Linked DNA regions of Ovis aries. The protein of the gene in region 1 purifies or fractionates together with the protein of each later gene. This does not show direct contact. Links are inferred from orthologs where the notes say so. Each region holds a gene or a part of one and is shown on either strand. Other genes may lie near its edges.

Evidence for each region. The genes of interacting proteins can lie anywhere in the genome.
Region 2: the proteins of MZT1 (region 1) and TUBG1 purify together in Homo sapiens (affinity purification with mass spectrometry; 4 studies listed by BioGRID and IntAct, counting the BioPlex papers as one, with this or other methods). This does not show direct contact. The link is inferred for Ovis aries from reciprocal best matches to the Homo sapiens genes MZT1 and TUBG1.

Annotation. Positions count from the first base shown.
Region 1 is NC_056063.1:48,080,223-48,083,749, reverse strand, and holds part of MZT1 (mitotic-spindle organizing protein 1), read left to right. Parts: intron 1-1,862; coding exon 1,863-2,008; intron 2,009-3,527. UniProt on the Homo sapiens protein: Required for the recruitment and the assembly of the gamma-tubulin ring complex (gTuRC) at the centrosome.
Region 2 is NC_056064.1:42,410,114-42,414,438, reverse strand, and holds the start of TUBG1 (tubulin gamma-1 chain), read right to left. Parts: upstream 2,804-4,325; 5' UTR 2,705-2,803; coding exon 2,656-2,704; intron 2,334-2,655; coding exon 2,221-2,333; intron 2,019-2,220; coding exon 1,851-2,018; intron 986-1,850; coding exon 917-985; intron 621-916; coding exon 541-620; intron 118-540; coding exon 1-117. Other genes in the region: RETREG3 (reticulophagy regulator 3), read left to right, coding at 3,124-3,362. UniProt on the Homo sapiens protein: Tubulin is the major constituent of microtubules, protein filaments consisting of alpha- and beta-tubulin heterodimers. Gamma-tubulin is a key component of the gamma-tubulin ring complex (gTuRC) which mediates microtubule nucleation.

The sequences.
Region 1 (3,527 bases):
GTCATATAAAATGGCTAAGTGTTTGCATATAACCCACATTCATCCTCTTGTATAGGGGCTTCTCAGGTGACTGAGTGGTAAAGAATCTGCCTGCCAAGAATTTTTTTTCCCAAATATTTTCAATACACAGTTGACTTGTATCAAGTTGTAAACTAGCAAAAGAAGTAAAGAGAGTCCACAGTGTGCAAGGCAGTGTTGGTGAAGCAAACATATAGCCCATGCTCCCACCATCAATCCCCTTGCTTTCTCATGTGAGGTCTCCCCTACCTCTATCCTTCACTAAGCTTCTTCAGTTCTTCACTCATCTCAGACTTGACCTTTTGTATTAATCTCTCCTGTCCATGCCACCTACCAGTCTCTGCATAATTGCAATAACTTATCTGGACTCCTTCTCCCCAGGTCTTACACTGGGAAGAACTTGGTAAATGAGACTGAAAGGCTCATGTAAAGACAGTGTAATTATGGTTGTGAAATGTGAGATGAGCCAGACAGGAGAATATACTAAGGCCCTATTGAAGATTTGAGAACTCTTGGAAGCTACTACATTTAAAACAGGAATATGACAAGATCAGATATTCTTTTTTTTTTTTTTTTAAGATTTTGCCTTCAAGGCTGCAGTGCAGTGGCAGGATGGGAGTAACTGAGGCAAAACCCAGCAGATACCTTGAGTTGAGCAGGAGTTTAGGGTCCAGGGAGACCAAGGCAGGCAGAGTTTTTAAGACAGAGTACCTGAGAGGAAAGAGCCTGCACCTAGAGAGAATTCTGGAGGTCCATGGAATGTTCTCCCTCAGGTATTCAGCATGGCATTGATCAGTGTGCAAGGAAAGTACCCCAAAAAGATACCAAAGGATCAAACTGTTTCTAGATAACTATATCTCATGACAAAGCTTGAGAATATGTATAGAAATACAAAACTGTCAAACACCCAGCACAGTAAAATTCACAATGTCTGGCATCCAGTCAGAAATTATTAGGTATGCAAAAACAGAAGAATGTGACTGATGATAAGAAAATTTTAATCTGTTAAAAAACTGATCCTCAGTTGATACAGATGTTAGGATTAGCAGGTGAAAACATTAGAACGGTACTCCATGTGTTCAGGTTAAGTATAGGAATGGAAGAGAGGTTTTTTTTTTTTTTAAACAAATTGAACTTCTCAAGATGAAAATGAATATGAAGTATGAAAAAGTGGAACAGGCCCATATCACAAAAATCATGAATATTATGAAAGTTTTCAAAAGGACTTAGACTGAAATTAAAGGTGGCTTAGTATTGTTCATTTGTCTGTTCATCCCAAAATAAAGTGTTATTTTCATACAGCTCATATCAAAATCCAAATGGTATATTACTGACTAAGCAGTTCCACTTCTAGGAATTTATTCTGATAAAATTAAGTTCCTATGTACAGATATTTGTCATGGTATTATTTTCATCAGGGAAACAGGAGACCCACATAACAAAATAGAGCAGTTAAGTAATATATGTTATTTCCTTAAAATGGAATATTACATGAATGATTAAATTACATTGTAAGAGAATGCTAAAAAGTGGGAAAATGTTCGGAATAATCTGGACTATGGTATGTGAATTTTAGATAGATACTAAATGAGTAGTAGAATATAAACCAAGATATAGAAAAGTTATGTGGAGGGAGGTTGTAATTTATTTGTAAGTTTCTAGAGCTAAGTAAGGGCAGTATTACATGCCGGTTTTCCAGTATTACATCCCGGTTTCCAAATCTAGGAATGCTGTGCTGTTCTTTGGTGTTATACAACATTATATGAATTAAAAACAGAGGTATTCACGTGCATTTTTTAAATGTTACAAGATTTTATTCTTAAAATTTTCTTGTCTTTTTCCAGTCCTACTTGAGATTTCAAGAATTTTGAATACTGGATTAGATATGGAAACTCTGTCTATATGTGTGCGGCTTTGTGAACAAGGAATTAACCCAGAAGCTTTATCATCAGTTATTAAGGAACTTCGCAAGGCCACAGAAGCCTTAAAGGTAGAGATTCATATGTTCACTCACTCTGAATGAAAATGCTTTTGTTTAGAAAACAATTAATGCTGAAATTTTATGTGAATAATTCTAAACAAGGTTAAACTAACATCTGTCATCAGGAGAAATTCTGAAGGCCGGGATCTTAGTAGTGTATGTTCAGATCACAAAATACTCTATCTGAACCATGTTGTCTTTTTGTAAAATTATCTCTGATTATGTTTAGAATTCTGCTTGTGTTGGGGGTGATATTGTTTCTGCCCCCCTCCCCCAAAGATATGCTTAAGTGTGCAACACCTGTGAATATACCATGTTTGGAAATAGTGTATCTGTAGGTATAATCAAATTGCCATGAGATCATAATGGGTTAATGACCAGTGTCCTTATAAAGACAAGAGAAATTTGGACACAGATATACAAAGCACATACCCTGTGAGGACACAGAGGGGATGCTCTGTGATGACAGAGACAGAGATTGGAGTGATGGTGTTTACAAGACAAAGAAGGCCAAGGATTGTTGGCAGCCACCAGAAGGTAAGAGGCAAGGAAGGATACTCTGCTAGAGCCTTCAGAGGACTTCTGCCTCCAGAACTATTAGAGAATAATTTTGTGTTGTAAGCTACCCAATTGATGGTACATGTTTATTGCAACCCTAGAAATCTAATTTAGGTTTACTATTGGAAAGTGGAGTGCTGCTATAAGAAATACATAAAAATGTGGATGTGACTTTGGAATTGGGTAATAGGTAGAGGTTGGAAAGTTTTAGGGTGCTTGATAATAAAAGCCTGGATGGCCTTAAAGATTTGGTAGAATGATAGACATTAAAGGTGATTCTAGTGAGAGCTCAGAACGAAAAGAGCATCAGTCATCTCAGAGAATATGTCTATCATTATGAATAGAATCTTGTTAGAAATATGAACGTGAAAGGTGCCTGTCTGAGGTCTCAGACAGAAATGAACAACCTCGGGTGTTGGACCCTGGAGGAAAGGCCATCCTCGGTATAAAGAGCACTCAGCTGAATTATATTCTGCTGTTGGAAGGAAAATAAAACTTGTAAGCAATAACTTGGGTATTTAGCTAAGGAAATTTCCAAAGCATGGAAAGTAGGGCCTGGTTTCTCCTTGCTGCTTATGGTAAAATGTAAGGGGAATAGGAAATTGAGGAAGGAATAAGTAAAAAGAAACCAGCGCTCACTTTGGGAAGCTCTCAGCCTACCCAGATAGATCTCTGGAAAGAAGGCTGAGAGTGTAGCTAGATAACCTTTTGGTGAAGAGATTAGGTTGTGTGATTCAGATACAGTGAACATCTCAGTACAAAATCAGGCTAGCTTGACTTAAAGGGATGAAGAAAGGCTGTCATACTTCTGGGGTTCTGTAGGCGGCTGATGGAGCTGTTAGTGTGTGCACATCCTTGAAGGAAAGGGAAGAGTAGTCCAGAGGCCAAGAACTGCTGAGGCCAGATGGGCTGTGTTGCCAGCGTGGACCCAGAGGACCACCTTTTTTCAAATTCGCATCAACCACCTTTT
Region 2 (4,325 bases), on another chromosome or scaffold:
GCGTTCTGGGTCAGCCTCTTGAGCGTGAGCAGTGAGTTGTAGGGCTGGACCACCACATCGCTCATCTCGTCCTGGTTGGGAAACACTGAGTATGTCTGCACCAGCTTCTTGGGGTACCTAGTGGTGTTTGCGAAAGGATGGTCAAGGGCAACAGACTAGAGGCTTGGTAAACTTGGGGCTTCTAGTGACGGTCAGGATGGGGAAATTGCGGTTCGGGTCATAGGACAGCAGAGAAGGGAGACCTGACTTTTGGCAGTCTGTAACCCAAAAGGGGGGAAGGGCAGAGAGACATCTTAGGACCTAGAGTTTTAATTCCAAATCAGGCTTACTCCCTGAATCTTCATCAAAGATCAGGATTCTAGACTCTGGTTCCAACCACTAGGAGTGTGATTGGGTTCCTGGTCATTGTACCTTTCCTTCCTCAATACAGCAGGGAACGGAAGGGCCCTTTCCTGCTCCAGTGAATGGGAAGGTTTTATCTGGAGGGCCTCCCAGTCACCTGGGAAACCAAATCCTCTCTGCCCTTCAAAACAGACTTACCTGTCATTGAGCCGTTCTAAGAGGTAGGAGCCCAGGCCAGAGCCTGTTCCCCCAGCGATGGAGTGACACAGCACGAAGCCCTGCATGGGGAAGGGGCGGTCAGTATCTAGGTTTCAAGTGGCAGGATTTCCAATTTTACCCATCTCATAACTTCTTGGACTCCTATCTTCCCAAGACCTCTCCTCCACTTCCCTCCCCCACCGCCCCCCCCCCCCCCCACAGATTAGCAGACTGTTCGTTATTTCCAACAAGGCCCTGTGGCTTCTGTCCAGTGCAAAGGCTGCACGGGGAGGGTCCCACACCTAACAGATGGCTTCTAAAGGGTGCTGCCTAGCGGTCCCCTGCTGGCCGTCACCGGCATTCCTAAGATGCTCACCTCTAGGCTGTCGCTGCCATCTGCCTCCCGGTCTATGATGTCGAAAATGTCCTCGTGGATCTTCTCTCCCTGCACAGACATGGAGGGCATCAGAGTGGGGCAGGACTAAGCAACAAGACTAAGGGCAGGACTTTGGCCTCGGAATAGCCACCCTCCATTCTCCTTATAGTACCTAAAAGTCCTTTTTGGAACACAGTGGTCCTGCTTTTTGTTTGCACTAAAAGGTAGTACAGCCTGGTGGTTACGAGCAGAGTCTCTACATCCAGACTGCCTGAATGCCTATATTAGCTCTAGGTCTAGTTAGTCGGGTGCTACTTCATCTCTCTATACCTCAGTTTCCTCATCTGTACAATGAAGGCACTAATACAGGTCCACAGTGCCTTATCTAAAATTCTTGGGGCATTATGTTTCAGAGTTCAAATATTTCAGATTCTAGGAGGGCTATATGGTGTGTATAACACAAGCTAAGTAGAACATCAGTGGGGCAGGGGTCTGAGCAGTGCTAACCAAATACATTAATATTTCTTTAGTGAAAGGAATGAGAAGTGGCAGCAAGTTGAACAGAAACTATAAACTAGCTTATCTCTATTGAGATTCAGTTTTGCTGCTAAATGAGTAGTTATAAATCCTCTTTTGGTTTCAGAGTTTTCTGGATTCTGGAAACCTACAGAGACTGTGGACCTGTAGTACCTACCTCTAGGATTGTTGGAAGGTCTGGGTAAGTTAATTTATGTAAAACACTAACAATGGCCTGGCATCCGGCATGAGCCAAGTGCAGTCTCTTATGACCATTACATAGTTCGCTCAGAACCCCCTCAGTCACATCTCTCTCTCCACTCATATATTCTCCATCTGGTTTATCTTCTCTTTAGGAAGTCATAGGGCCAGTCCCCATGCAGGAGTGGAGTTCTTCTGCCAGGGAACAGCAAATGACCTGGGAGAATCCACTGGCCCAGTTGTTGCCAGCTCCTCCTCCGTGCTCCGACAGGTAGATGTTCTCTGGGTTGTAGAGCTTGGCATAAGGGGAGTTGAGAATGGAGTGGATCACCCTAGGCTCCAGGTCCAGCAGCACTGCCCTCGGGATGTAGTGCTCATCGTCTGCCTGTAAAGGGGAGTTTAGGATGGGCCCAATCAGCTCGGGCCTGCCCAGTCCTCCAGTCCTCCCAACCCTGATCCTGCCTCCCTCCCTCTTCAAGCCAGCCTCCCTGGCTCCTCTGCCTAGTGGGCTTCCCAGTACCAAGCCACTACCCTTCCCTTCAGAACCCCTGGGCCACTACCGGCCCTGGCTAAGTCCCTGGGGGCACCTGGTAGAAAAAGACGTCCTTGCGATCAGTGCCCTCGGTGGCGAACTCCTCCACGATGCCCTCGGGGCTGATACCATGCTCGGCGCACAGCTGTTTCCAGAACTCGAACCCAACTGACGGGAGGAACGAGGGCGGGAAGAAAGAGGATATCTGGGTCTGGGCAGGTTCCAACTAGGAGCTGGGGGACTCAATGCCTGGGTCCAGCGATAGGAAGTCAAGCTTCGGGAGTCTCTCGTGTCAGAGGAAAGGGCAGTATATCAGCGACTGGGCAGAGGAGGGCCCCTTGGGGTTGAGCAGCTGGATACTGGGTCAGGCATGTCCCACCTTTCGGAGAACTACGATTCTGGGAAGGGCAGATGGAGTTCAGGATCCCACAGCGAGATCCCGTAGAACCTAAGAAACCCTGGCTAGTGGAGGGGCCGGAAGTTCGCTCACTCTGATTGCCGCACTGGCCCAACTGTAGGGTGATGATCTCCCTCGGCATCTCTCCTCTGGCAGCTGCGTTGCAGCCGCTCTGTACAGCAAAGCTACCGCTCTCGCCACAGAAAAGCTGCCTCTCCCGCCAGCAAAGCCGCCGCTCGCTAGCCCGTTACACTGCGCATACGCCAAAACTTGCCCCGCCCCCAAACTTCCTCTGTTCCAATGAAAACTGAGTTCTGGCGAGGGCACTTCCTTACTCGTTCGGCTTCAGCCCTGCAGACTGCGCGTGCGCAGCTCCTGATTGGGGCGCCGGGGACGTAATTTTGACGCAGTGTTCTTCTTTCTGGGATGTACGCGACCAAGGGCCTTCGCGCAGGCGCGTGTGCAGGGATGCAGCCTCCCTCGCCGTTTCGCGCATCTGCGCAGTTGAGATTATTGTGATTGTCGGGCCGTGGCCCCGGATGTTGTGGCTGCCGGGGGGAGATGGCGGAGGCAGAGGGGGTGGCCGTGGCCCCAGGCCCAGCCTCCGGTCAGACTTTCAAGGGTCGCCGCCCTATGTCAGGCTCCTGGGAGCGAGACCAGCAGGTTGAGGCGGCGCAGCGGGCCCTGGTGGAGGTGCTGGGGCCTTACGAGCCTCTGCTGAGCCGAGTGCAGGCAGCCCTGGTGTGGGAGCGGCCAGCCAGGAGCGCCCTGTGGTGCCTGGGGCTGAACGCGGCTTTCTGGTGAGAGAACTGGATCCTCGGAAACCCTCCGAGGCGCGAATTCGTCAGGTTTCTCTAAGGCTCTATCTCTCGCCTCCTTTGTTTTCTTCGCTGCACTGGCTCCTACCTGTACCTGCCTAATTTTGTCTCACCTCCTTCCACTCTATCCCGCCTGAGGCTTTGGCACCGCAGTTCTTAGGGCCTTCCAGTTGTTCCCCCTGCTTTACGTGCACCCTCGCCCCGCACATCTGGCAGGAGCTTCTAGTAACATCTTGCGCCGCTCGCAGTGAGCGAAGGCGCCTCATTTTAGCCAAGAGAAGCTGTGTTCCGTTAAGGCCATCACCTCCCTTCTCTTGTCTGCTCAACAGCCTCGAGATCTTAGTACTTATTGTTGGAGTAGATGAGTAAGGCGTGAGATCTTGAAAAGGGATCCATAGGTGTAACAAGGAAACATGCTTAAACGACCTGAATTAGCATGTTAGATAGACATCTTTTTGCCCACTCAGGAAGTTTGCGAAGTCTGGGAGTCCTTGAGAGCCTCCATAACTGCAACTTGAAAGAAAATTACAAGCTTTTGAAGACAGTTATGAAATAGTAATTGTGGGATTTCACCCATTTCAAAGCCACTTAAGACGACTTCTCCGTGTTCCAAGGAATTAGAGAAGCATCCTTCACCACGGTTTATATGCAAGGAAATTGAGGGTGTCTAATAGTGTTTTGTTTTTCTGAGCTGGGATAGTAGGGCTAAAAATATGCTTAAAGAATCTGTCTGTGTCATCCTGTGTGAAAATGGAACTGCTGCTTCCCTGAGTTGTCATCTCCTGAAGTGAACTTAGGTCTTCATAGAATCTGCCAAGCAGAGTTTGGATTTATTCATAACTAGGGAAGTATTACTGATCAGATTCCAAGGGAACTCAAGTGTAGGGGGGGCTTCTACAGCTGAATGAAAAATAAAGCAGTTCTGGATAAGCCTGAAACATAACA